Linked DNA regions of Notamacropus eugenii. Each later gene encodes a partner of the first gene's protein in a complex. Links are inferred from orthologs where the notes say so. Each region holds a gene or a part of one and is shown in the gene's direction. Other genes may lie near its edges.

What was found.
Region 2: the proteins of RAB8A (region 1) and RILPL2 are in contact, whole or in part, in a crystal structure (PDB 6SQ2), measured with the Homo sapiens proteins. The link is inferred for Notamacropus eugenii from reciprocal best matches to the Homo sapiens genes RAB8A and RILPL2. Residues at the interface, in NP_005361.2 of Homo sapiens: Ile41, Gly42, Ile43, Asp44, Phe45, Lys46, Ile47, Lys58, Trp62, Phe70, Ile73, Tyr77; in NP_659495.1 of Homo sapiens: Leu135, Leu138, Arg139, Leu142, Gln143, Arg145, Asn146, Lys149, Ser150, Leu153, Glu157.
Region 3: the proteins of RAB8A (region 1) and RAB3IL1 are in contact, whole or in part, in a crystal structure (PDB 4LI0), measured with the Homo sapiens proteins. The link is inferred for Notamacropus eugenii from reciprocal best matches to the Homo sapiens genes RAB8A and RAB3IL1. Residues at the interface, in NP_005361.2 of Homo sapiens: Lys10, Phe33, Ser35, Phe37, Ile43, Asp44, Phe45, Lys46, Ile47, Gln60, Trp62, Thr72, Ile73, Thr75, Ala76, Tyr77, Arg79; in NP_037533.2 of Homo sapiens: Arg104, Glu108, Leu111, Glu112, Thr115, Ala116, Phe119, Glu120, Ala122, His123, Arg127.

What each region holds. Positions count from the first base shown.
Region 1 is NC_092875.1:59,137,999-59,148,369, forward strand, and holds the start of RAB8A (ras-related protein Rab-8A), read left to right. Parts: upstream 1-5,591; 5' UTR 5,592-5,706; coding exon 5,707-6,049; intron 6,050-9,405; coding exon 9,406-9,466; intron 9,467-10,371. UniProt on the Homo sapiens protein: The small GTPases Rab are key regulators of intracellular membrane trafficking, from the formation of transport vesicles to their fusion with membranes.
Region 2 is NC_092875.1:38,797,202-38,806,634, reverse strand, and holds the start of RILPL2 (RILP-like protein 2), read left to right. Parts: upstream 1-5,366; 5' UTR 5,367-5,792; coding exon 5,793-6,158; intron 6,159-9,433. UniProt on the Homo sapiens protein: Involved in cell shape and neuronal morphogenesis, positively regulating the establishment and maintenance of dendritic spines. Plays a role in cellular protein transport, including protein transport away from primary cilia.
Region 3 is NC_092873.1:13,632,288-13,642,232, reverse strand, and holds the start of RAB3IL1 (guanine nucleotide exchange factor for Rab-3A), read left to right. Parts: upstream 1-5,428; 5' UTR 5,429-6,104; coding exon 6,105-6,133; intron 6,134-9,945. UniProt on the Homo sapiens protein: Guanine nucleotide exchange factor (GEF) which may activate RAB3A, a GTPase that regulates synaptic vesicle exocytosis. Promotes the exchange of GDP to GTP, converting inactive GDP-bound Rab proteins into their active GTP-bound form.

The sequences.
Region 1 (10,371 bases):
GATTTCTGTATGGCTGAGCATCAGCCACAAAGTCAGCCAGAAATTCAGTGGAAATTCATATGGCAGCCTGTCTCTCTGGTGGTTGTAGCATGGTAGTGCTTCCCATCGTTGATTCCAGCCCTTTTCCGTGCCACTTTCTGTGTCCATGAATCTGTTGGCTAGAAATACAAGGCTAAAGGTGCCTCACTGTCACTAAAGGAAAAATAAAATTCTAATTGTCTTAATTTTATTTTAGACTGCCATAGTATGGCAAATGGAAGGTTGTTTTATTTTAGAGGGATTTTAATCCCTATTTTGGGGACCAACTTAATAAAGACCAAAAACCTCCTGATTGAACTGGATTCAAAGAATCAGACAGTGCCTATTTGTTGTTGCTAAACGGTTTCCTTGTGTACAGCTCAGTGCTAAAACATTCCTTATTCCACAGTAGTGTGGAATAGATATGAAGACTCAAGTTTACAGTTGTGATTCAAAACTACCCTGCTTCTAGCATATAATCCCAGTCCTCATTCCTATTTATTAAGCATCACACTACCCAGAAACACACTAGGAAATGTGAAGCTGAATGAAACCAGAGCTTTTCATTTAGATCTTTACCAAATGTATCATATGTAATAGTATCACCTTTTTCTAGCTTTTGGTCAAATAAATTTTTACATAAACTATTTTGAGTTTTTGAATGTGGTGTGGTATGTATGTATGTGGGTGTGTGGTGGGGAAGACACGGAAATGCTGAATTCTTAAATCATCAAGGGACATTCATAAATGGAAATATCAATTATACTCATAAACGAAAACATATCTATATCCACTTTTCCTCATGTAAGAGCCATTTCAACTAGGTAACCACTGAAAACTGTAATAATAAAGTATACCAAGAAGGCTTTTTTTATATGTAGATCTTATAAACTAACAAATTACTTCTCTGTCTTCATCATTTGGACACTTATTCTACGTACTACCAACATGATAGGCCCAATATGCATTACTTCATCCTTTCTCCAAACTTTTTTTGGAATGCTTACAAACCATAGGGGTACTAAGAAGACATGGTCTCCAATGGAGTTTATTATGTTCTGGTAGGGGAGAAATACCCGGATACAAATAGTAATAGAAGGTAATGTGTGGTAAGGGAAGGGAAAATAAGAGTTCAATTAGATGTGTCAAATTCCAGTTCTTACAAAGAGCTGTTATCTTTGGTGTAACTGGTTTTGAATTGAAAACAGGCAGAGCCGCTAAATGTTTACTGGAGTGGTCTGGGGAATGCTTTCCATTTTAATTCTGCAAATGTGTCCCCTGGTCTGTGAAAGGTATACCTAACACAAGTGACAAGAGTTGTAAAATTGGCCAATTCCAATAAGATGTGATTTAATAGGACTTACATGGAAAATATTCCACTAAAGATTAAAAAAATAAATCAACCTCACAAACAACTACAACATAGGGAAGGCATGCTAGGCAGCAATTCATCTGAGAAGATCTCTAGATATTTTTTCATGGACTGCAAGCTCCCTGTGAGTCAACACTGTGATATGGCAGTAAAGTCATGCAATTTGGACTGCATTAAAAGGCTTAGCAAACAACAAACACCAGCAAAGATCAGAGATAGGAAAATGTACCTCCCTTCTTTGCAGAGGTGGGGCACAATGGATGCAGATTTTTTGTTGTTACAAGGAATGGCTTTCTGGAAAAAGAAGTAGGAAAAGAAATATTAAGAAATGTAGGTGATGTAAAAACTAAAGATACCAGTACTTTAAAAAAAAAAAAATACTGCTCTTTGTGGATATAGGAGACTATAGGCGTGGAACATTCCATATATCAGACTTGACTGATTTGTTAGTTTTGCTGACTAGCTTTTTTTTCTCCTTTAGTCTTTATTTTAAGGGATAGGTCTCCAGGAAGAAGGAAAAAGGAGGAACATATTGGAAAAGCTAGGTGATGTAAAAAAAATATATCAATAAAAATGTTTAAAAGAGACAGGTTATTTTTGTCCAGGACTGTGGAAAGTGATAATATCAATCAACAATTATTAAGCATTTACTGCATTCTGCTCTAAACAGATCTAGACTACTGTGTTCAGTTTTGGTGTCACATTTTAGGAAGAAAGCTGGAAAGCTTCTAGAAAAGGGTAAAATTATAAGAAACCTGGATTCATGCCATACAAGGACTGGTTGGAAAAAAAGAATGTCCTTTTCTCCCCTCTTCTCACACCACTCAGATACCTTCTGCCACTATCTACTCTTGCCTCACTCTTGCCAAGGTAAATGCCTCTACATGCACAAGTGATTCCATTCCATCTTACCTTCTCCAGTGGATTGCCTCCATCATCCTCCATCTCACTAATACTCAATCTCTCCCTGTGTACTGGCTGATTCCCCAATGCCTACAAATATCTCAGTCTCAGCAAAAAAAAAATCACTTGATCTGTCCAGCCTCCCTATCATCCCATCTCTCTTCCCTTTTGTAGCTTCAAGTCCTTGAGAAGACCACCTACAACTGAAGTCTTCATTTCCTTTTCTCTCATTCTCATAATTCTATAATCTGGCTTCCCACATCATTTTATTGCAACAGTTCTCTCCAAAAATAATGATCACATCATGCCTACTAAACACAGTCATACCCCAAAGTTCTTCTAACTCTCTACTATTTTGCATGGTGGCCAGCTCCCATGGGTTCAGTCATCATCTCAATGCAGATGATTCTCAGGTTTATCGAGTCCTAACCTCTCTCCTGATTTTCATTATATTTCCAACTGCCTACTGGACATCTAGAACTGGATGACCCATAGACATCTTAAACTCAATACGTCCGAAACTTAATTTCATTATCTTTCCCGCAAACTGCAAACTTCCTTGGTCAAGGACACCACCATCTTTCTAGTCACCCAGACTTGCAATAGAGATGTCATTCTCACTCCCCACATCCATTCTGTTAATAAGTACTGTAGAGTCTACCTTTACATCTCTCATATACACCCCTTCTCTCCTTTGATATTGTCACCACCCTGCTCTAAGTCCCTATCACCTCACACCTGAAGTATTGCAATAGCCTCATGCTTGGTCACCCTGCCTCTGACCCCTCCCCACTCCAGTCTACACTTATTCATCAAAGTGATCTTCCTAAAGTGACAGAGGGCTCTCCTCCCCTTCATTCACTCTCTAGGCTAAATATAAAATCTGTTTGGGTTTCATAGCCCATATCACCTGATCTCTTCCTAGCTTTCCAGTCTTATTTCACTTTACTCTCCCAAAGAGTGACTCTGGTCTCCTTACCAGTGCAGGCTCCTCTGGCTGTTCTTCAAACAAAAAGCTCCTTCAAACAAAAACCTCCATATCCTCAAAGATCAGTCTTTTCACTGACCATCCCCCAGATCCAGAATCCTTTCCCTCCTTGCCTCTGCCTCCTGGCTTTCCCAACTTCCTTAAAGTCTCATCTAAAATCCTACCTTCTGCAAAAAAATCTTTCCTGGTGTCTTGTTAATACTAGTGCCTTCCCTGAAAGATCATCTCCAATTTCTCCAGTATATATCTTATTTATATATAGTCATTTGTACTGTTAGATTGTAAATTCCTTGAAGGCTGGGATTGTTTTGTCCTTTCTTTGTATTACGAGTTTAGCCCAAACCCTCCATAGACACTAGTAAATGCATACTGACTTTACAAGATATAAAAGACAGGGTGGGGCAGCATAGGCAAGTGCTGGCCTTTGAGCTAGGAAGACCAGGTTCTAGTGCTGCCTGATGACATACTGATTGTGTGACTCAATTTCTTCGTACTTTAGGCAACTCTCTTAAGACTTTAAGTTAGGGAGAAGGTGCCAACATGCTTGGTAGACAGTGGCAGAACTCATTTGGGAGTTCCTTATATCAATGAAACCACAGGGTGTAAGAGTCTGATACAAAAGCAGGGTAATGGTGGAAGAGGGTATGGGAGAAAAGAAGGAGACTGGTGTAATCTGTAGACAGCTAGCACAACCTTTGTTCAGTTACAGCCTCCAGTTCAAACTGGCTGCTTCACCATAGGCAAATCGTTTAACTCTGAGCCCCCTCTCTAAGACTTCAGGGCAGAGCAGATGTCTCTTTATAAATAGGAGTTTCTTCCCTGCCAGCTCATGATACCAATGAAATCACAGGTTCCATTAAAAACCAATTGGGATGGCAACAGGGACACAACACAATTCACCCTTTCACCTTCAAATCAAATTCCACTTCTAGCTAGCTGTCCCTAGTGGGAGGGAAGGGGCAGGCAACAATCTCTCTCACATAGTCATTTGTTTTGCACCTCTCTAATGCACTTACTATGGAATGCTATACATTTTTCAGTTATGTGTCTATGTCTGAAACTCCTTTGATTTGAAAAAGGAAAGTCAGATTGCAGAGAGCCTGCAAGGCCAACGTGTACATGTCATCTGGTAGGGAATGGGCATCCATTGAAGCTACTTGAAGAGGAGAATGACACTCCCCTGCTCTTTTTTTTAAGCCACCCTGGAAGCTGAAGCTCTGAGAATGGAGGTGTGAACATTAGATAGTGGGTCATAAAGAACTGAGGGAAGGAAGGAAGGAAGGAAGGAAGGAAGGAAGGAAGGAAGGAAGGAAGGAAGGAAGGAAGGAAGGAAGGAAGGAAGGAGAGAAGGAAGGAGGGAAGGAAGGAAGGAAGGAAGGAGAGAAGGAAGGAAGGAAGGAGAGAAGGAAGGAAGGAAGGAAGGAAGGAAGGAGAGAAGGAAGGAGGGAAGGAAGGAAGGAAGGAGAGAAGGAAGGAGGGAAGGAGGAAGGGAATATCTGACTTCAACATTCCCCTGGGATGAATTTACAATCCCTAGAGGCAGCCAGGCCTGGCACTGAGGCCCAGGCTCTCAGGCCGCCTCTCACACGCCATCTATTCGCTGTGTGACCCTGGGCAGGTTACAGAACTTCTCCGCGCCCCAGGGGGCTTTTACGAGAATAAGCTACAGAGAAGTTGCTACTGCGTCGTGGAAGGAATTCGAAGAAAACAATAAGGGGAAGGGAAAAAAAGACAGAACAATGGACGAATGAAGGGACGGACGGATGGATGGATGAACGGGCGTATGGACGGACGGACGGACGGACGGACGGACGGACGGGCGGACGGGCGGACGGACGGGCGGACGGGCGGGCGGGCGGACGGGCGGGCGGACGGACGGGCGGACGGACGGACGGACGGATGGACTGATGAACGGATGAATGACGCCCTGGGGGGGGGGGCCTCGCGGAGGAGCCTCGGTCTCCGGGGTCCGCGGGTTGGAGGTGCTGCCGGCTGCCTCAAGCCAGCGGCGGGATCCGCTTCCTCCCTCCAGACCCGGCGGCGGCCGAGGAGAAGCCGACCGCCTCCTGCCGGCAGCTTCAGTTAACGGCTGCGGAGAGCGATTAACGGCTGCTCCGGGCTCCAGAGCTCCCCCTCAGCGCCACGCCCCTCGCCCGGACCCCGCCCTTTCCTCTCACGTGACTCTCCTCCCGCGCCCCATAGAAGGGGCGGAGCCTCGCCTCGGGGCGCGGGAGCCGGGCTAGGTCTCCCCCGCCCAGCTGAGGGCAAGGGCGGGGTCTCTGGGCTCCGCTCGGGGAATTAGCGGCCCCCTCCCTCCCCTGTCCCCGCCTCCACCCCCTCTCACTCCAGTCCCCATTTGAACCTCGAGTCTCTATCTCTGGCCAATCCCGAGACCAAGCTGTCGAAGTGAACGCGAGCTCAGCCAATGGGAGGCACGCTCAGGGTTGCTTCCTGCTTCGTCTCCCCATCTTCTTCCCGGAGCCCGCCGAGGGGGCCTGGGGGCCGGCGAGGGGTGGGCGGCGGCCGCCGTGACGCGCCACGGGATCTCGGCCAATCGTGGGCGGGCGCGCCGCAGATTGACAAGGGCGGCGTCCAGTGTCGAGGCGCCGCCGGCACTTCCCGTCGAGGAGGTATAGTGTGTAATATGGCGAAGACCTACGATTACCTGTTCAAGCTACTGCTGATCGGGGACTCGGGGGTGGGGAAGACCTGTGTCCTGTTCCGATTCTCCGAGGACGCCTTCAACTCCACCTTCATCTCCACTATAGGTAGCGGGGCTGGGAGAAGGGGCAGAGAGGCGGGGCCCCGGGTGGCTGGGAGGGAATGGGGCCCGGGACGGCCGGCAGGGCCCGGAGGGGACTGACGGGGAGCCACGGTGGGGATGAGAGGGCAGCAAGGGCCGGGGAGCGGAGCTGACCGGGAGGGAACAACAGGAAAACAGGGGGTCTGGGCTGACGGAGAGGGGCCTGGGGCTTGGTGGGGGGCGGGCTGGGAAGGGAACCACGGCGGGCCGGAGTGTCTGAGAGGGAACCAGCAGGCACTGAGACAACAGAAGCTACTGGCAGGGGAAGGAGAGCACAACGGAATCAGGGGGGTGGTGGAGGAACAGCCCCCACCCCATCTTTCATGATCGGGGGGATCCTGGCTGTGGGAGGATGGTTGGGACGGGATCCGGGGTCCAGGTAGCTATGGGAAGTGGACTACCTGCCTCCAATTTACCTCTGACTCCCAGGTTCAAAGGCTGACCGTGTGGCCAGCCAACCCAGGGCCAGGAGGGTCTCACAATGTGGCTTTTATGTTGCTTTCCTTAGGGTTCTCCCTCCCATGTCCCCACGAAGCTAGGGGCACACTTACCATTCCCATCCCCCGCCCAGGGATGCTGCGACCTGTCTACCCCTAGGTTCCCCAGCCTCTGACACGATGAGAAAGCCGGCATCCGAGATCCATTAGTCCAATTCCGAACCGCCCGACCCTATTCTTATGGCTTGGGAAGCTGAGGCCCAGAGAAGAGGACTCATTTACCCAAGGTCGCAGAGAGATGGGTAGTCTCACATTGCCTAGTGACCTAAGACTGCTGATTCTTTCCAGGTCCCCGAAGGTTTCTTAAGCACCTTACAAGGCAGGAATTCTCAGTCTAGAGCTCCTTCTGCCAGTAGCTAGTTTCAAATTGAACTCCCAATATGCGCACCACAGCTCTGTTTCTATTAAGTGTTTTGGCTATGAAAGTGGAAATAGAGCCTGGAAACCCAGAAGATGGTCACCAAGTACCACTGCAGTTGTGTTTCCCTCTCACTTCCCAACTTTTCCCTTCTGACTTCCCTGTTTCCAAAGAGAGATCACTAGAAGAAGCAGTAGCATATAATGGAAAGAATACTGGAAGACCTGGGTTCTACTTCTGGCCCTTATGGTTAACTCTGTGACCTTGAACAAGTGATTTCCCCTCTCTGGACTCAGTTTTCCCATCTGTAAAATGAGGGCATTGGACTAGATGTTCTTTCTGGTCTCTAAGAATAGCTCACATTTGTATAGTCACTTTTTGGTTTATGACATTTGTTGAGAGTAAGTAACCTTAGTTCCTGTTTTCAGCCCTCTCATTATTATAAGGTTAAAATAGTCCTGAAGCTAAGATGAAGTGATAGTACCTTCCTTTGTGTCATCAAAAGTAGATGACTGTCAGATAAAAGCACCCCACTGCACCTTAATCAGCTCCAGCCAGACTTCCGTATCTTTATGCTCTGAAAGTTCAGCTGTTACTCCATAGAGGAACTTTGAGTTTAGAAAGCACCTGCATTGACAGTAAATGAGACTTGTTGAATAAAGATGTGAATATGAAAGGTATTGAATAGTGGGTACTTATGGAGCTGCTGGCAGTGCTCTTCCAGCTTTTAGAGTAACTTGGACTGAGCTGGTTCCATTCAAAAATTAGCTGAATGGAGAGGCAGTGTAGAGCCTTGGAAAGATTGACTTTTTGAATCAGATGATCTGGACTTTACATCTTGGTTGGTTCTGCTGTTTAACTACCTGTGTGACCTTGGGGGAGTCACTTTAATTGTCTGGGTTTCTTCATCTGTATACAATTAAATTCAATAAACATCAAGTGCCTACTACTAGCTGGCGCTGTGCCAAGGGATAGGGATACCAAAAGTGGTAAAGGAATTGAACTAGATGACCTTTGAGGTCCCTTCCAGCTGCAAAGCATATTACATGACAGAATGGTCCCTGCCCTTTTGGAGTTTCTGAAACTTCCTATTCTTAGAGGCTTGAGGTCTTACGGAAGGGAGTGCAAATAGCTGGTTTAGTGACTTTGTCCCACTCTGAGCATAGGTTTCTTTCTTACTGATTCATTCTGGTTTCTTTAAAACCCTCTGAGAAGTGGAAGTTAAAGCCTCTTTACTTCCCTGCAAATCAAAAAGTAGTACATGTGCGGTAGTAGCATAGCTAGTTCTTAACCTAGACCTTTATTGTATTTACTCCCTGAATATTTCACCGTAGAAGTTTTCCAGCTCCTTACCAGTTCTACTGAGATCCACTCTCAGGTTTTCATTTAGGAATCCTAGTGTTTTCAAGCAGCAGTGGGCTTTGAGATCATTTCATTCTAGTCCTTCATTTCACTGATGGAAAATCAGTTCAAAGAATGACTTGTTTCAGGTTACCCAGAGAGTAGTGGAAAAGCCTAGCCTAGACTCCACATACTGATACTCCCACCTCAACGAAGTTTAGTTTCTCTATTGTCTTTTATCTCTGTATTGGCAGGAAGGTTTGTTACTTTGTAATCTGGGGGAAGAGGGGAGAGTGGAGACTGAACCTATGATTTCTGTAGTTTTGTAAAATTCCCTAAAAGCAAACTCTTTCCACCCATATAGATTGACGTTCTGCATTTTATAGTCTTAGAGAGTTGCCAGGGCCACTGAAAAGTTATATGACTTGTCCGGGGGCACACAGCTGCTTGGTGACAGGCCCACTGAGGCGGGATTCATACCCAAGTCTTACTAACTCCAACGCCAGCTCTATCCACTGCACCATCTTGTCTCTTTACCTTGTAATTAGGCCTGATTCTTAAGCCCCATAAATTACACTTCTTAATTAAGCTTATGGTATTAACAAAACCAAAGAAAAGTATGAAACAAAGTGTTGCCTTAAGGGCAGTACAAATTCATCACCTCTGATCACATGTCCCTTTAAATTCTTGTCACAAACAGTGAAGAGGAGTTTAATTAGAATCAGCATCTAGCAGTCATACCCTGGAATATAATGAAAAGCTGGATGAGGGCAGTTTGCTTCTAGCAATATAGTGTGATAGTCTTTTCTATTGCTTTGGACTAATTGTCTGCTGTGGTTTTTTGCCATTATTTTATTACATATACTTTCTTTTGGTTACCCTTAAGACTCTTTATCATTTAAAGCTTGGCTCTTTGTCCTCTTAGAATCAATTCTCTTCATTCAGGCTCTATTTCATATAGCCCCACAGGGACTTTTGTAAATGTACAGTTTGGAGAGCTGAGTTAGGGATGTGCAGTTGGTTTCACTGAGGTGAAAAGGAGGCTTGGAGGCTGTAATGAAAACACATGACAAAAGCAGTAGTGAACTTCTGAAATGTACTAGTAATGTCACATTTTTCTTTCAGGCATTGACTTCAAAATTAGAACCATAGAGCTAGATGGCAAAAGAATTAAACTACAGATATGGTAAGAATCTTTATACTACTAGTATTTTATTTTTTTTTAATGTTCTTGTCTTTACTGATGCATTTTGCTAGGCCCTTTAATTTCTACAGTATATTGATTTAAAGTATCAACGAAATTCAGTGTCAGTAAAACAGGGCAGCACCCCTTATAGGGCTTCTTCTCTTCCCCTCTAATTGTTTACACAACTCTGGCTGGTCACTTGAACAAACAGGTTTTCTTCAAAAGAGTTTTGTGTTTCACACCTAGCTCAAAGGAGCTATTTTCCTTTTGACTGTCAGGCATAGCCTTTGAGTTGTTGGGACTTTCTGAGCACTCCATTTGGGGTTTCTTTAAGCTGAACTTTTTCAATCATATGACATTCTAAGATTGTCAAGATCTAGCCAGATACATCCTTCTTTCCATGTGGGTTTGGTCTGTCATCCCTGTATACTTGTATTTAATTTAGGGGAAAGCCTGTATCCACTTCTCATCAGGGTAGAGAAGTAACACTAGTTCACATTATGTTTGGATCATGTCAGTGCATAGTAGACTGGCTTTTTCATATTCTACTTTATTTTCTTGTTGAAGTTCCAAGGAGAGGGATATCACTAATGCAAACATTACCTTGCATGTTTTCCTGAAATCCCAGAACAAAGTTTAAAAACAGATATATCTTGCTTAAAATACATGTTTTCATTTTCAAGACCTTTGCAGTGAATTCCCATAATGCAATAAAATGTGCCAAATTGGCCAGGACTCTAAACCTTGGACCCAAGAATACTGTAGATGAATTCTTGGCATACTTAGGCATACCTATGACTTATACATTTTGTTTTGCTGCCAAGAATGGACATTTATGATGGAATAGTACTTCAATTTTCACATCTGAACAGATGTTGCAAACAGATCAAGTTTAGTTTTAGGCT
Region 2 (9,433 bases), about 20 Mb from region 1:
GTCAAAGGATGTGAAACTTGCTACCCTTTGTATTAAAAGGGAGGTAATGAAGTGTAAATAGGTTGATGAATGAATCCTTATTGTATTTGTCATTCAACTGAAGTTTTATTAGTCTTAATGATCAAAAATCAGTCTCTCCTATCTGTCTCCTAAATATCTCTAACCTCCTTAATTTTAGGTGATTCAGATTCTGAGTTCATATGAATATAACTTGATTGAAGGTCAAAACACAAATATTTTTTTCCAGAGTCACACCTATGAATTTTACTCACACACTGTGTCTCAAATCTATAAAACATAATAAGCTCCTTTTATTTTTATCTTGGTGTCCCTAGCACCTAACACAGTTGGTTGGTTCATTATTGTACTTTGTTTTCGAAGAGGACCAAAATGGCATCACCATGATAAAGTTAAGTTTTAAAGTGTACAACTGTGGCTGATCAGACCAATATGAGCTCAAAAGGCTCTACCAGAGGTTGGGCACAGATAGTTCCTGTGAACATTTGGGGTGGTTACTCCAAATCTGTGCATCCTACGTTTCCTTTGTGCTGGCTCAATTCTACTTTACTCATAGAGCACAGCACCCTTTCTGATGTGGGCACGCCATGCTGAGTGGTTCTGTGTCAGTGTCTCCCATGTTGTATAGTCAAAGTCCAAAGTTCTTGAGAGAGACCTGGAGAGTGTCCTTGTATCGCTTCTTCTGACCACCATGAGATCACCTGCCCCATACGAGTTCTCCATTAAATAGTCTTTTTGGCAAGTGTACATTTTGCATTTGAACAATGTGGTCAGTCCATCGGAGTTGCGCTCTCTGAAGCAGAGTTTGAATGCCTGGCAGTTCAGTTCGAGCAAGGATTTCAGTGTCTGGTACCTTATCCTGCCAGGTGATCCTCAAAATCTTCCTAAGACATTTCAAATGGAAGTGATTCAGTTTCCTGGCAAGGCACTGTGTTTTAATAAATGCTTGTTAAATTGAATGGAGCTAGACTCCTAGAAGAAGGGTTAGAAAATGCCTGTTACAAATTTGATCTTTTGGAATTGGGCAAGCTAGTGCTCGCTATGGATATCGGCTTATTCTTCCACCAGAAAATAATAGAATGGGACAAGATGATCTATAGTGTGCTTTGAGCTGTCATGTGCTGTGGTATGACTGATTTATTTAGAGGTGGAAAATGAGGCACACAGAAGTTAGGTGACTTGTCAGGGTCACACAGTAAGTTTCTATGGCAGGAGTTGAGCTCAGGACTTCCTGTCTCTGTGTCTCACTCTCTATTAGCTATGCCATCTAATTGCACACAAATGTGTGAGAATGTCTGGATGGCTGGATGGATAGAGAAAGCATTTATTAAACAGCTACAACATATCAGGCACTGTGTCACAGGCTAGAGATAAAAATACACAAACGAGATAGTTCTTGCCCTCAAGAACTGAACATTTTAATGAGGAAGCCAGCCTCCATAGTGAAATGGCAGCTAGGGAAGGGAGTTGTGGTTTGGAGGGTCACAAGGAAGGGGGAGTGCAACCATAGGGCAATCCATTATCATCCCTTTTCCAGAAGAGATCCCTTTTCTGTTCACAGACCAAGAGGTGGAAAGGGAACAATGTACAGCAATGATCAATCAGAGCTGATTCAGGTAGATGGACAGATGGATGGATGGGATGGGAAGCACAGTCTTTTAGTGGACTGGATACAGTGAATCAGTTGAGTTTACTCTCCTTCACCAATCCTGATCAAAGTCCCAATCAAACAAACAGTCAACAAGCCTTTATTAAGTCCCTAATATATGCTAGATACTATGCTAAGAACTGGGAGACACAGAGGAAAAAAGAAAAAATAATCTCAATCCTCAAGGAATTTATAGCAAACTCCTCAAGGCAGAGTGCCAAGGCTGAGTAGATTAACCACAATCCCATATACTATAGCATGCCAATGCTGTCTATAGGGTTTTCTTGGAAAAGATACTGGAGTGGTTTGTATTTCCTTCTCCAGCTCATTTTCCTGGTGAAGAAACTGATGCAAACAGGGTTAAGTGATTTGCCCAGGGTCACACAGATAATAAGTAACTGAGGTCAGATTTTGAACTCAGGTCTTCCTGACTCCAGACCAGTGTTCTAACCACTGAACCACCAAGTTGCCTCTAGTTAACCTAGGAAGGTACTTTTGGGTATTTAGAAACTGCTAGGTGTTAGGCCCACTGCTTTATGTCCAGAGCACTGGACTTAGGGTCAGGAAGACCTACGTGTCAATCCTACCTAAGATCCTTGCTAGTTCTTTGACCCTAGGCAAATCACTTGCCCTCTCTCAGCCTCAGTTTCCCCACTGTAAAAAAAAGAAATAATAATAACACTGCCTGGGTAGCTAGGTTGGCACAGAAGATAGAGCACATTACATAAATAGGAGGTGGCACATATGGACCCACGTCTTCAGAAGAGCTCTTTCCATTCTACCCCAGGGCCAAGCAGAACAGTCTCCAGCAGCTTCATGCATTTCAAAGGTTTCCCCATCTGTTACCTCCTTGATCCTCTCAACAACCCTGTGAGGTAGCTACTCCAGGTATCCTTCATTAATTCCATTTTACAGATGAGGAAACTGAGGCTGCAAGCTGTCTTCAAACGCAGGATAAAAGAGCACTTAATTGGATATGTAATAGAAGGATCTGAGTGGCATCTAGGCACTGTGGTGTTAAGGCAAGTAACATAGCACACAGGAGGGCTGCTAGCACAGGTTCACTCTTGATCTGGTCAGACAGAAAAGACACTAAGACAGCTTTGAAGGGGTTAATAATCTTACTGTATTCCAGTCTAGTCTTCTCACAAGAAGGTTGTCAATAATGGGAGCACAACTCCTATAGCATTACCTAATCACCCTTCTTGAAGACCCCTAGGTCTTGATTGGGTCAATCAAGACAGACACAGCTTGTGCACTCCCCTCAATCCCCAAAAGCTTCAATGGGGGCCAGTCAAGGCACACAGAGAATTCTAGTTTGTCCATTCAACCCTAAGGGTTCCCCATTCACTGACCAGCGCCCACCTGCTTTATAGGGCAACAGACAAAGGATGCATATTGCCAGCAAAAGCCTCACAAGTTTACATCACCTCATCCCTGTATCTCACTGTGCAGTCACAGTAGATGTTTATAATTTAAGCACAAATGTTTAAATTATTTATCATTATATAAAGTTGCACAAACATCATGAGATATTTTGAACCATAATTGTGAGAACTTATATCTAATACCTGGGAACAAGAGATTGTTATGACTATGGATCCTGGGAAACTGAACTCTAAGAAAGAATAACAAAAATCCACTTTACACATACTAAAATCCACTTTACTTACAGGATGACTCAGGGGACAGAGCGCTGGACTTGGAGTCTGGAAGACCTGAAGGCAAATCCAGCCTCAGAAACTTATTGGCTGTGGCAAGCTACTAAACCTGTCTGCCTCAGTTTCCTCATGAGTAAAATGGGGATAATAATAGCACCTACCTTCCAAGGTTGGTGTGGGGATCAAATGAGGTAATTTGCAAATCATTTGGAAAACTTTAGAGTGCTATATAAATGCTAATAATTATCATAATTGTTAATTATTATTAGATCCAGACCATGCCCTGAAGGACTTACAGCTTTGAGCTCTGGAACTCTATCCCTTGAGCCCATGTTTCTCTGATTAGTGAATGTCTCCCACATCCTACAGGTAGGATGGCTCTGGCCACACCCCTCATCAGTCCTTCCACATGGGACGTATATGCCTCTCCAGCTGAAACAGATATGTCAACTTCCTTTATGGATAGGTAGGTAGGTAGAGTATTTGTTAAGAATTTGCTTTATGAATGAATGAATGAAATGAATGAATAAATGAAAAAAGCATTCATTAAGTGTTGGGGATACAAAAAGAAACAAACAGTCCTTGCTCTCAAGGAACTGACATTTTAATGGGGGAGATGACCATGTGGAGGGTTCCACATCAGATGGAAAGGTCCCGTGGTCCTTAGACCAGGCATGCAGCAGCAAAGCAGATGGCATTGCTTTTTCTTTAATGCCATTTTCACTGATAAAGCTAAGTTAGTTATGATTCTGCTCACCATCCCTGTGTTTCTACAAACCAAAACACCAAACTGACATAATTACATTTTTGGAATAATCCTTTAGAATGGAAGTTTCTGGAGGTCAGGGACTATTTCCCTCCTGTACTTACATCCCCAGCACTTAGCACATTACTTGACACACAGTAAGCCTTTAATATTTTTTACTTTCATTCATTCTAAAGTTAGAAAAGACCCTAAAAATTATCTGATCCAATTGTCTTGCTTTAAAAATGAGACTGCCTTGATTGATCACTCTTCAGACATTCCCTGTCTCTAGTCCAAGCCTTGCCCCCAAAGCATCTACCCTTTGGCATATCAGAGAATCCCTGTGTCCAGTATGGGTTGGACTCCATGTCCTGGGAGAGCCCTTACACAATTCAGAGATTCTGGGAAACAGACTCCACTGGGCTTTAGTCTAGACCAGGGGATCCTACCCTGGAGACACCCCCAACCTTCAAGAGACTTAATGATATATTTCAGGGGATCTCTGAATTGGGTGGGGAAAATACATCTTTATTTTCATTAACCTCTAACTGGAATTTAGCATTTCCTTCAAATAAAAGGGCCCTCAGGCTTCACCTGGACCAAGGGGTACAGGACACACAAGAAGGTTAAAGACTCAGCTTCTTGATGAACTCTGGACAGCCCTCATTTTGTTTTGCCTTTCTTTGTATCACAAGGCTTTTTATATGGTAAAGCCTTAATTAAAGTTTTTTCACTCACTATCTCCAGCTCCTCATATTCTGAGAGGTACCTGTAGGACTGCCTTCCCATCAGAGAAGGGGAGACTAGAATTCCTGGTCCAGGAGGGCTGGAGGGAAATCTGGTGGCAAGACCCCGAGCTGGAAGTAATCTTAGAGGCCATCTAGCCCAACCCTCCTGTTTGACAGATGAGAAAACTGAGATCCAGACATCCACTGACTTGCTTAGTCACACAGCTAATAAAAAATAGAGCAAGATGTTCACTTTCCAAATACGGCACATTTTTCCACTGCACCTGGTGTCCCTTGATGACCCCAGAAGATGAAAATAACCTCCTCTCCCCCGCAGAAACCCAGATCACCACTCATATTTGAAAATAATAATTCTATGCCTGATCAGGCCGAGTCTGGGAAGGAAAAAACTATGCGTCCTCCTCCACTCCCTCACCATAGGAACCCAGGGGCCGCGTCCTGGTTACTAGGCAAGGAATAGCTCCTCCCCGTCTGCAACAACCCTCCACCCCTTACAGACGGCTTCTGGACTGGCAGAGGCGTCCTTAGCCCGGGTCTCATTTCCTTTAGGCCTCCAAACACCCGCATCCTCCAGACTTCCTTTCCAACTGGGGAGATTGGGGTGGGGGTGGGGCTGTCTCAGAATCCCCTCCTCCATCTGCCTGGTACCATTGTCAGGTCTCTTATCTCGCTAACTCCAGGGCTCAGCCTTGGCCCGCCTTTCCGTCCCGGACAGTTATTTTGGCCCATTTAACTTTGCTCCTGTCTCCCTCTAGTCCCACCTCTCCGACCTGCCCTGATTGGTCACTCCTCAGACATCCCATTCCCCCCGCCCCCCCCCCAACTCTTGCATTGTTGCAAGATTCTAAAGTCAGAGGAAGGAAGTTGTGTGTAATTGACTAAAAGGCCGGGGTTGTCACCAATAAAGTCTGTCTCCGAGAGGCCCAGGTCCGGAGGCCTGGAGGACCCGGAGAAGCAACAACTGGACCGCCATGGAAAAAAAGCCTTCTCCAGGGAAAGAGGAAGGAGAAGGAGAAGAGGAAGAGGAAGAGGAGGAAGAGGAGGAGACTGGTCCCGAAGGAGCTCTGGGGAAGAACCCATTCCAGCTGACAGCCGAGGATGTCTATGACATCTCCTACGTAGTGGGAAGGGACCTAATGGCCATCACTGGGGACTCCAAGGATGTGGCCACCAGGGTGACCCAGCTCCAGTTTAAAATCGTGCGAATCCTGGAGATGCTGGAGTCCCTAGTAAATGACTGCAATTTGACAGTAGAGGAGCTCAGGATGGAGAGGGACAGCCTTCGAAAGGAGGTGGAGGGGCTCAGAAGCAAGGGGCAGCCCCCAAACACGGAAGAGGTATGTACATACCATTGAGTTATCCTGTTTATATGGTTTTTTTTCGGGAGGCAATCGAGCTAAGAGCCTTGCCCAGGGTCACACAGCTACTAAATGTCTGGGGTTGAATTTGAACTCAGATCCTCCTGACTCCAGGGCCAGTGAGAGTGTATCCATGCTATCTAACTGCCCCCACCCACTGAATTTTTAACATGTACAATGTTTGAGGCACAAGTAGGGCAACTGGCATGGGGACTGGAGACCAGATCACACAAAGATCCATTGAAGAAACTGAGCATGCTCAGACTGGAGAAAATTTAGGGATGGGTGAGTGGACATAGGGCAGTCTATTAGCAATGCCTTTCCAGAAGCAATGTTAGTATGGATGGATCTACAGTTCATAGGAAATAAGGTACAGCAAGGATCATTCAGTGCTGGTGCTGGGATGGATAGATGGATAGATGGGATGAGAAGATGAGAAGAGAGCTTTTTCTGCTTGGCCTCAGAGGGCAGAGCTAGCAGTTTAGAGGGGAAATTACAGGGAGGGAGATTTTGATTCAATATGAGAGAGAGCTTCCTTAGAGCTATCTAAAATGGTGGTGTAGAGTCTGATGTACTGGAGGTCCTCAAACAGAGCTTGGACAATCACTTACTACCTGGGTGATCTTGGGCAGTTCATTTCCCTTCTCCAGGACCTCGGTGCTTTCATCTGCAAAATGAAGGTTTTGGGCTACCTGTGCAGCCAGCATGCTTCTTCCCCCTGCCCATTCCTTTCACTCCTCTTTGCTCAGCAGGGAGGATCTCCAGGCCCCTGATTACATTCAATAGCCCTTCCCGGTTTGCCAGTGTCCTTCTGAAAATACAGTGTCCAGAATTGAGCCCAGCACCCTATAGGTGTTCTGATTGTACGTGTGATTGTAGGTCTCATCCAGCCCTAATCATCTTCTATCAAGAAACACCGAGGACCTTGAAGGGTGTGCGTATATCTAAGCAGACTTCTAACTAGTCATTTTGATATCCCGGGCAGGGAGGCCCAGGCTTCCCTCTAACACTGCTAGGAAGGGAAGGAGCCCACTTAAGCTTTGGTGTTTATTCTTTTTTATTAAAATTTTTTATTAGAGCAAGGACTGTCTGGCTTTTGTTTTTGTATCTTCAGTACCATACATGGTGCCTATCACATAGTAAACACTTAATAAATGCTTTTCCATTCATCCATTCATCACTGATTAGGCGCCAAGCTCAGTTGTTTTCATGAACTGAAGGACCTAGGAACCTCTTACTTTCAGAGCCCTGAAGAAAGCCCTGATTTCCCTACCCTTCTGTGGGGGAAGACCTGAGTTGGGGCAGTTTATCTACGAAGGAGAACTGTGCTAGCTATATAGCCAGCACAGTGATGGGGCCTTAAATATCCACTCTACCAGTTTCCTGTGTGGATCAAGCTGGGCACCCCCATGATACAGCAGATGAGATGCACGTTCTGTAATGTGCATATGAGGCTGCCGGTCACGTATCAGAAGGAAAGTAATGTCAGAGAGAGTAGCTCTATTTATCTGAGCTTTTTGGCCAGCACATCAAAGAGGCCTTTGGTCGTCTTTGCTTAGAAGAGTCTTAAGGTGCAGACTTTAGAGCCTTCATGGGCAGGCTTGTAACTCCTGAATGTACCTGAGCTAGACAGGTCATCTGCTCAAAGTCCCTTAAAGAAGGGGGACCCACTACCTCCCCCACAGATAGCCCATTCCATTTTAGGGGAGCTCCAATTCTTAGAAAGATTTTTTTCTAACATCAAACCTCAATTTACTATAGCCCTCTGTTCTGCCCTCTGGGACCAAGGAGAGAAAATCCAATCCATTTCACACAGGACAGACTTTCAGATAGTTGAAAGCAGCTATCCTGTCCCCCAAAGTAACTCCAAGTCTCCCCCATTAGAATGTGAGCTCTTAGGATGCTCTCAGAAAAATCAGGAAAGACTTACATGAACTGATACAAAGTGAATGTACTGTATACAAAATAACAGCACGATTGTAAGATGATCAGCTCAGCAATACGATGATCCAAGACAGCTCTGAAGGACTTAGGATGAAAAATGCTGTCCTCCTGAGAGAGAACTGATGGTGTCTGCATACAGACTGAAGCATACTTTTTAAAACTTTATTTTTATTGAGTTTTTTGATCTGCGTTTTATTTCACAACATGACTATTATGGAAATGTTTTGCATGACTACATGTGTATAACCTATATCGAGTAGCTTGACTTCTCAATGAGGGGATGTGGGGAGAGAATTTCGAACTCAAAGTTTTAAATAGAAGGTTAAAAATTAATTTTTACATGCAACTGGGGAAAAATAAAACACAATTTAAAAAACTGTGAGCTCTTTGAAAACAGAGACTGTCCAATTTTTCCATTTATATAGCGAGTATTTAGCGCATTGCTCTGCATACAAATAAGCCCTAAGGAAATTCTTCAATCATTCAAAGTGAAACATGTCCAGTCTCTTCAGCTGATCAATTTACAAGGATTTATTAAGTGTCCACTATGTTCCAGACACTGTCCTAAGTGTTGTGGATACATCAGTTCTTTCTCTGGATTTGGATAGCATTTTCCATTATGAGTCCGTTGAAATTGTCTTAGATCATTGGATTGCTGAGAGGAGCTAAGTTATTCAGAGTTGATCATCACACAATGTTGCTGTTATTTTGTACATTGTACTCCTGGTTCTGCTTAGTTCATTTTGTATCAGTTCATGTAAGTCTTTCCAGGTTTTTCTGAAATCCACCTGATCATTCTTCCTTTCTTTTTTTAACATTTAAATTTATTGTTTTTCTAAACATTCTTTTCTTTTTCAATTTTTAGTTCCAAATTATCTCCCTCCCTCCCAGGTCCTTCCACCCCTACTGAGGAGATAAGCAAAAATGATATCACATTATTTCTTATAGCATAATAGTATTCCATTACATTTATATACCACAGCTTCTTCAGCTGTTCCCCAACTGATAGGCATTCTCCTCAATTTCCAGTTCTTTGTCACCACAAAAAGCGCTTCTATAATATAAGGTACATATAGAGTACCAAGGCAGATTTCAACTGATGATCTTATGGTATAGACTTGTGACCTTTGCCATTCTGGTTGCCATCGTGTAGGTAGGTCTCTAGTATCCTTCACTTGTGGAACGGTGGGCAGAGTGATGGGCCTGGAGTCAGGAAGACCTGAGTTCAAAGCCAGCCTCCTACATTTACCAGCTGTTTGACCCTGGGCAAGTCACTTAACCCTGTTTGTCTCAGTTTCTTCAAATGTAAA
Region 3 (9,945 bases), on another chromosome or scaffold:
TTAATGAGCAAAAGAAAAAAATTTAAGTAAATCAAGGTGGGAGGGAAAGAGCAACAATTACTATTGATAATCACTGTGAAGCCAGGAGGGTCCAGAAAATAGCCATTAAGTGGAGTTTGGGCAGGGACCTATTGTCCAATCCATGGGTTTCAAAGTACACTGGGTTTAAGGTTTGGGGAAACACAAGAAAGAAAGAGAGAGAGAAAGAGGGAGGGAGGGAGACAGAGAGAGAGAGAGAGAGAGAGAGAGAAATATAGTCAGTAAACACCAAGTTATATCAGGTTCTGACATGATATGAAGGCTTAAGTATTAAGTATTCTCTCAGCAATGTCAAATAACTGAATCCTCAAATACCATTCTCTTAGAAGAATCTGTAATAATGGCTAACATTCAGCAGCATCTTAAGCACTCTTTCTCAGTATATATATATATATATATATATATATATACACACACATGCACAATAATGTCATTTGGTCCTCCCAACAACCTTATGAGATGTTACTATTATTTCCATTTTACAGATGAAGAAACTAAATGAGACAGAGAAAGTTTAGGTGACTTTTCCAAGGTCACACAATTAGTAAGTATCAGAGCCTTGGTCTTCTTGACTTCAAGCTCAGCACTCTGTTCACTATGCTAAGACCAACCCAAAGATCAGTGTCGAGAACTTGGTAGGGGTTAAGGACTACAGGAACACTCATACATTCTTGGTGGAGTGGTGAATTGGTATGTCAATCTAGAAAACAATTTGAATTATGTGAGAAAATTACTAAATGGTTCATACTCGAGCCAGTGTGGTGCCATTGTGGCAATCCTCAATGGGATTATGCCCCCAAGAAGGCCAAGGACAGAAAGAAAGTTCTCATATATACAAATATTTTCATAGCAGCACTTTTGTGGTCACAAAAAAATGGAAACAAAATGAGTGCCCATTGCTTGGGGAATGTTTGAACAAGCCATGGTACATGCATGGAGTAGAATATTATTGAGTTGTAAGAAAAGACAATTAAAGGAGATTCTGAGAAGCATGGGAATCTTTCAAGCTACTGATGCAGAGTGAAACAAGTAGAATCAGGAAAGCAAAACATTGTAACTTCAGTGATGGAAGTGAAAAGATCAATGAAATAAAGCCTAATGAACATTATTGTAATGGCCCATTTTGGCCCTGGAGAAGAAACAAGGAAATGTATCTCCCTCTTTTGACTGGAGAGGTGAGAGATTATGGGTGCAGAATGTTGACCACACCATCAGATAAGGTTATGGTGAGAGCTGGTTTTCTTTGTTATAAGGGAAGACTCACATGATTGTGGGCATGTATGTCTGGGGCTGGGAAAGAGAAACAGCTGGAAATGCTTGGGCTATAAAAACACAAGGATAGGTGTAGGTATGAACTTGAGAGTTCATTGATATGTGGAACTACTAAAGAGAGAACTCTCTTTACCAATGCAGATTGCAACCCCTCTACAAATGATCATTTTAGAGAGCTATCTGAGGCACTGAGAGATTTAATAGCTTTCTCATGTGTCAAGGGAGGGACAGTAGGAATGAAAGGCATCACTTTAAACTAAAATTAAAGTCCCTTGGTGGATTTGAGGGTAATGTATTTCCAGTTCACCTTTGCACACGTGAGATGTGTGAGGTATTTAGGGAGGACCAGCACCTCTGGTGGGAGGACTGCTCATCCACCTTTCGTGTACGTGTCACCCAGCTCTCACCTGTGACTCCAAGAAGCTGGATGGACTAAACCAGGTAACAGGTAACTGATGGACCTCAAACCCATTGGTGAGTTAGGAGTGTGTCTGCCTCAAGCATGTGAAGATTTTTCCCAGTGGAACGGGTACAGGAGAATGATTTGTTCCAGCGGCCACGAAGGTGACTAAAGCACATGCGACGGAGAACTTAGCATTTGTTTGGACATGGAAGGTGCCAAGGTCACCCACCTCATCCTGGGCCATAGCCATCATCCTGACTTTTGCCCTGCCACTGGATTCTGATGACCCTAGAAGAGAGACAACTTTGTGAGGCTCTTCCTCACTTAAATCCACTTTATACACAAGTCAAGGCATCACCCCAGGATATCATTGATTTTCTTTAGCAATGACGGACAAACAAGAACGGTCTCTACAAAAACTCAACACAACAAAAGTTGATTTTGTATCCAGTATGAGAGACAGTGTGGTATGACCAATAGAAGCTCACCTCTAAGACTGGAAGACGCAGGTTCAAGTCCTAATTCTGAGAAGTACTGGCCGTGTGATCCTGGCCAAGTCCCCTATTCTCTCAGTGCTCCAGAAGTTGCAAAAAAGGAACCAACCTGCTTCAGTGGAGGGAATTTCCTCACTTTGGAGTTCTTCATACCAGTGATGTCACAGATTATTTAATCTCTCACCTTAGACCTCTCCAAATGCACAAGATTCTGTTATCCTCCATGACAATGGTGGGCCATTGACAGACTGGGAGATTAACTGTAGCTGAGGTTGCCCTGAAAACCCCAAAATCTTAGGTGACCTTGAATGACTTAAAGGCATAGTTCCTTTCCTAAGGAGGAGAGGACTAAGATGGGCTTCTATCAGCACCAGGGGTTACCAGAGAGTTCACAGATCCATTATAATAAGGCTTATGTGCACATCTCGACCTTTGCTGGCCTTCACAAACCTTTAGTGACTTCCTGTTACCCATGAGATGAAGTTCAGACTCCTCACCCTGGCCTTCACTGACATTGGAAAGAGAGTCCAGTGCAGGTGGCACCTTCTTTAACAACACATATAGGTAAGCAAAGCATTGAAACAGGCTGATATAAGAGGGGTGAAGGGTAGGAGAGGTCCAGGGGGTGCTTATGGGTGCAAGTCAGTGCATGGGATGATACTGGACTTGGCTGATGCGTCAGTGCCTTCTGACAGACTGTCTTCCCCCTCTTTTTCACTCTTTGTGATGAGGTCTAGCTCTCTCAGAGGATGGAGGGATGTTGGGAAAACGGATGTGATATGAAAACCAGAGATATCAGTGACATTTTCCTAAAATATAAAAACACACAGACAAAAATAAAGCTAAAATTAAAATAAAAGCACACATTACAAGAAATATGCAAATTAGCAAAAAAAGAAGAAAGTAAGGAAGGAGGAGAGAAGGAGGGAAGGAAGGAGGTGAGAAAGAGAGAAAGAAAGAAAACATGGAATCACCCTCTCTCTAATCTCAAAGTGTTTGCTTTCAAAAGCCAACCTTCCTCAGCTAGAAGCACCCTCTGAGGTCAAGTTCAGACTTCTCATTTTATAAACGGGCGGTGGGGGCTTTGACTGGATGAACTCTGAGGCCCCTCCCTGCTGTAAATCTATGACCCCACAAATGGACTAGGCTGCATTTGGGAAATGGTACATTGCCTTCAAAGAGCAAGGGTAAACAAAGGACCATCTGTTGATCACTAACAAGAGTCAAAATCAGGGCAGGGCAACTGGGATTTGTCTCAGGGCATCAGATTTAGAGGGCACAGAAAACACTTGCAGTAACAAAAGAGGTGAAATGTGTAGGGCTCAGCCAGCCTGAGAGCATTTCCAAGTTCCCTCACTCGGTACCAGGTCCTCCCCTCCCTCAGTGTCCTGAGGCCCAGGGAGTTTGGGAAATGCTGATTTAGGGAGCCTCATACTCCCTCTTCTTTCCATTAGGGTGCCAAGGCAGGAGGGGAGCTTTGTGAGGATTCTGGGCTTCAAGTCCCTGCCTCTCCCAGAGCGACCACTGGAGGGTGCCTTAGCCCCAAAGGGCCCTCCTGCTGGCCCCTTGACCTTCCTTTTTTTCCTGAGAAAAAGTCTGTGTTGTGAGGGCAAGCTGAGCTCCTTTAAGATGAGTTGGGGAGAGTTAGGGGTCCGTGACTCTCTCATTCTTGTTACAGCCTCTTAGGTGGGTGGTGGAAAGAGCTTTAGACTTAAAATCAGGGGACCTGCCAAGGAGTGTCAGGAAAGCTACTTCCATGCCTCCCCCTCCTTTTTGAGCTAGGGGATGGGGCCCACAACATTGCCTATCATATCAATTTTTTTCCAATGAACTGATTAGTTTTTGTTGAATTTTTTTCTTTTCTTTTTTTAGAAAATAAATTCCTTGTTATAGGGAATAGATGGTAGAGGGAAGGGGAGGGATAGAGGAGAAAATCCAGGTGATATGAAGACAAAAAAGTAATAAAAATCTATTCTTTTTTTTTTTAAGTTTTTCTTCTCTGGGTCTCAGTTTTCTCATCTATAAATTGGGGGACTAATTCTAGCTAGGGTGTGATATTCGAAGAGTACTTCTATTAAAGTCAAGGGAACAGAGTTCGTATTCTGTGTATGAGCCTTATTCCCCCACACGGTGTTGGGCAAGCCCTCTCACCAGTGGCATGCACCTCAGTGTCCCCATTTGTAAAATGGGATTAAGGAGTTTTGGACTGCTGCACTGGTCTTTTGCTGACCTTGTCCGTCTTGACTTCTGTTCAGTCTTTGATGCTGTCAACCACCCTCTTGGCTCCCAGGTACTTCCTCCTTCCTTATCATATTAATAAAAGTATTATTTAAATATTAAATATTATTAAGCACATTAATGAGCCCAATAACTTATTTTATTTTATAATATATCATAAATCATGTTTCAAGGATCTCATTAGCACAGGTGCTCAATTTTTATATTTGTATATATTATATATATTCATATTTATACAGACTGGATAAGCTGTAAAGCCTAACCCTTCTGAGATTTAATGGACAGTTTATGAGAGTAATGGGTTGTGCCTGAAAACATTCTCTTTCTCTAGCCTACCTGGTAGTGAGACAGTAGTATAATAGTGTTAAATTAATTAAATATAATAGCGATTTTGTAATCACCTGTCTAGGGAACTCCCATTATGGAAATTCCCTTTGTCAATACAGAATGACATAGTCCTAGAGAGAGGCCTTAGAGGATTGAGACTGACCCAGGAAGAGCCTAAGGGACTTGTCCAAGGTCAACAGGCTAGCAAAGGGTCACAGAGTTAAAAATGAGGGATCTTAAAGGTCATGTGGAATGTTTTCTTCATTCTAAAGATGAGCCCAGGTATGGCTTTGCAAGATCAAGGTTATAGGTCACAGGTGGTGAGATTTGAACCAAGAGCCTCTGACTGCAGACCCAGCATACTTTTGATTTGGTCTTCCTGACTCCAAGGCTAGATACCTTTCAAAGAAATCAAGATTAAGTTAATGACATTATAACAATTAATATTATTATTTAGATTGTGATAGAAACAGGCTGGACACAGAGCTTTAGACAGTATGGACACAGCAAACTACAAGTCCCAGGGAGATAACTGTAGTTGGACAGTGTGGGGCTCCAGCCCTCAGAATGCTGACATCATCATACACTTAGGGTAACCACAGCGACAGGGGCGCATCACAGTGGTCTCCCAACAGCCCCCCAGGCCCTTGGACACCAACCCAAGAGCCATCTTACTCAGTAGGCTTAGAGCAGGACCCCCTGTTGGAGGTGGGCAGAGGAGGGAGGGGCCCTGGGGGCTGACCCACCCTGACAAAACCCCCAGGGCCTAGGAGAGAGGTGCAGAGGGGTTGGTTGGCTACCTGAAGACTGAAGGGGCCCCTCTGTTCCCTCCTGCCTCAGAAGGTGTCCATACCCTGCCCACTGAGTGAGGAGGGTGAAAGCAGTTGGAAAGAAAGAGATCCACCTGTTTGGGAGGGGTGAGAACAGAAGGCTGGAGAGAGCTGGCTGGCTTAAGAAGGGATGAGGGACCCTTGGACCTGGGTCCAGGCCTCCTGAGCATCCAAAGACTCTTATATCTGAGGGCCTAGTCTGAAGGGCCTCCAGCACCACTAAGCTGGACCACCCCCACACTCCATCCCACCACTATAACCATGGGAAAGCAGGGCAAGAAACTGATTTCATCACCTCCTGGGCCCAGCGACCCCTGAGCAAAGAATTGGGAGAGACCTCTGGGGTGTTTATTCAGATGGGCCTGGTGGACTCTACCTGTGCACCATGAAGTAGACCCCAGCAGCTGTAGCCATCCCAGCAGAGGGGCCCAGACGATCCTTGGCCTGGAAAAGAGAGAAGTGGACCTTAGGAGGCCGTGTGCTGACATCTCCCCAGGACCCATGGACACTGCTCAGCTGAAACCTGTAAGGTGAGTGCCCCACCCACAACCCACCACAGAGGCCAGGGCTTCTCACACCAGCCAGTCCAGTGAGGTTTTCTTCACTGGACCATAGATTAGAACTGGAAGAGACCTTCGAGGTCATTGATGAAACTGAGACCCAAGGATAGGACGTGATTTGCCCAAGGTCAAACAGCAGGGAATAAATAAGAGAGGCAGGGTTTGACCCCAGGTTCTTTGGCTCCAGAGATAGGATTCTTTACCCCATACCACCCTGCCTCCCTTCTTGCCTAAGGTGCAAAGAAAACGACATTGGGAGGCTGGAGTTTCTGCCCCCTAACTTGATGTGACCACTAGAGTTCATTTTTTTATAGCATCTCTCTCTGCTCTCCTAGGAGGTTGGGAGTCCAAGGGTTTCTTTTGTTTGGTCCAGACAAAGGTTTTATTGAAACTGCATGGAAAAGTCTTTCTTCTGATAAAGCTAGGGAACTCATCTATAACTCATGGTCTTGCCTGGGGTGGGGACTAAGAGCTTAAATGAGCTGCCTAAAGCCATACAGCTAGTTATGTGTTAAAAGCAAGATTTGAACTCAGGTCTTCCCAGTTTCAAGGCTGGCTCTCAGTGCAAGGATTATTATACCCATTAGGCAGAAAAAGCCCATTCAACAACAGATTCATGCTTAACCAACAATTATTATGCATCTACTATATACAAAGCCTTGTGCTGGACATTGGAATGGGGAAAACCTTTAGAGAAAACCCAGAGTCTCTGCCCTCAGGAAGTTCTCCAATAGTGATGAGTTCCATCAGAACACAGAGGTAGGTAATACACAGTCTCTGCCAGTAGAATAGTAAGACTTGGACCTGGGAGGCATCCACACCAAGGGCTTCTCCATCTCTTTTGTGTCCTGATCTCCTGGGGAGCAGTCTAGTAGTGATGCCAATGAACCTCTGCCCAGTCATGTTTACAAATAATTTAGGGAAATGCTAAATTTGAGTTAAAGGTTAGGGAAAATATGTATGCCCCCACCTTCCCCAATCTGCATTCACAGATCCTTTGATATCTATCCACGTGGATGGGGTCCCTAGGTTAAGAATCATTGACTAATCCAACCCCATGATTTAGGGAGCAGGAAACCGAGGCCAGGGGACAAATTTAGACTCTTATGAAGGGAAAGATGTGAGGAGTGAGGGGTAGGGACCAGAGGAATTCCATGATGCGTTAGCTTCCTTTGGGGATAAGATTACTAGGCTGGTAGAGAGGGGAATTTTATGACTACATTTTATACCTGGATTTTAGCAAAGTTTATGATAAAGTCCATCATACTAAGAGATAGGGATTAGGTGAGGATAAAATCAGTGGTATACAGAACTGATTGGATGGCTGGACTCATGATTCCATGTCACTGCAGCTTGAGGTCTCTCAGTCTGGCACTGGGATATATAATCTTTTGTCCATGACAGACTTGTATGAAGGCATAGATGACCTGCTCATTAAATCTGCCAATGACACGAAGCTGGGACACCACTGATACTGAATGACAGTCAGGATCCAAAAAGATTACAACAGGCCAGAGCTTTGGACTGCCTGAAATAAGATGAGATTCAATAATGATCATTTTAAAGTCTTGTAATTGGGTACAAAAAATCAACTTCACAAACATAAGATTGGTGGGGAGCCTGGTTAGATAACAGTTCAGAGAAGGACCTGAGGATTTTAATGGACCACAAGTTCAGTATGAATCAGCAGTGGGGGGAAGCAGCCAGAAATGCTCATGCAGTCTTGGGCTGTACCATGAGGAGTGCATCTTCCAGTGGTTGGTCCCACTGTCCTCTACCTTTGTCAGATTCTATTCCAAAATCCAAGTTTAAGAAGGAGGCCGATTCATTGGAGAGGGTTCAGAGGAGAGTCAGGGTTACAGAGGGAAGGGTTTTGAATCTGTTGGAGGAGCTGAGGGATATCTCAGGGAGAGGAGGGGCTTCATATATTTGAAATATTTGTCCCAGAGGGCACAGCCAATAGCTATGAGTGAACATTGCAGAGAGGAATCTTTGGGCTTGATATCAATAAAAACGAAGTAATAGTCGACATTTATATGCCGCTTACTCTGTTCCAAGCACTGGGCTAAATGCTTTACACGTATCATCTCTTGACCCTCACAATATTCTTGAGAGATGGGTGCTATGATTATTCCCATTTTGTAGTTGAGGAAACTGAGGCAAATGGGCTTAAGCGACATGCCCAGGGTCACTTAAGTAAGTGTATGAGGCTACTTTTGAACTCAAGTCTTCCTGACTCCAGGTCCAGAAAATCCTCCTAACAATTAGCTGTCTAAAAATAGACATGGTAGGTGATGGGCTCCCCCTCCTTGGAGGGGGAGGCTGCAGGACCAGTTGGTGGGTATGTTATAACAGGAATTCCTTTTGTTTATGGACTGGTGGATTAGGATTAGGTGGCCACTGAGGTCACTCTCAGCTCTCGAATCCTGGGATTTGGGGACTAGGGGAGCTCATAGGCATGTGAATATTTGTTTGGTTTTATCTGCCTGTTGTATATTTCAAACTCACTGTCCCATAGACATCCTTTTACTAAAAAATGTAAAAAAAATTTTATTTGGAAGCAATTGAGATTGAGGAACGTGACTAGGGTCAAGTGTCTGAGGCTGGATTTGAACTCAGGTCCTCCTGACTCCAGCCCATAGACATCTTAAATTCAACGTGTCCAAAACTGGGCTCATTGTCTCCTCATCCCCCAAACTGCCCTTCCACTGGACTTCCTGTTTTTGTCAAAGGCATCACTGTCCTTCTGATCCCCCAGGCTCCCGATCTCCTGATCTCAGGCTCCCTTATGTGTTCCAGGTCTTGTTTTTAGACCTCTTCACCTCTTAAACCATACCCCTCATCCCCTTTCCTAGATTATTGAAGCAGTAGCTTCTCATTTAGTCTTCCTACCTTCAGACTCTCAGCCCACTCCTTTCTCCACACATCTGTGTCCATGTCCAAACAGCTGTTAAAATGACATTCCTAGTGTACAGATCTCACCCTGTCATTGCTCTCCCTCATTAAATACCCATGACTCCCTATTACCTCCAGGAGCCAAAAGAAGTCCCTCTGACTTTTAAAACCCTTCACAACCTGGCTCTAATTTTATTATTGTTGGGGTGTCAGGGCACAATTTTAGAGCCAGAAGGCATCTCAGGAATCATCTGTTCTGACCTCGTGTTTCACTGACAAAGACCCCAAGACCTAAACAGGTTAAATGAGGGGATCAGGGGAAAGTGGGGGAGTCTGGAGTTGGCCCCCAGCCAGGGCCCCCCCTCTCAGAACTATCACGTATTTCTTTAATCTCCCTGCTCCGAATCCCAGCAGAAGCTAAGTTGCTTCAAGGCAGGACGTTCCACTCTTGTTTATGTACCCCTGGTGCCTGACCCACAGTAGCCACTGTGTGTTTTTTGAGATAATGATTATGTGGAATGAATGATCTATCTCTATGGATGTTTAGCCCTTCCCAAAGGGCACAGGGTCAGAGATTGGGGATGAACTGGGTGACAGGGACCCATTGGGATGCTCTGCTGGCCTGTAAGAAAAAGGGTTGAGAGTCATGTGAGGGAAGGGAAGGAAATATGTATTTATACCGCACCTACTACGCACCAGGCGCTGTGCCAAGGGCTTTACAAATATCTCATTTGACCCTCACATCAATCCTGGGAGGTACGTGTTATTATTGTCCTCATTTTATAGATGGAGAAATTTAGAGGTGAAGTAAGTGACTTGCCCAGCATCACACAGCTAGGAAGTACCTGAGGCTAGATTCAAGCTTAGGTCTTCCTGACTTCAGGCCT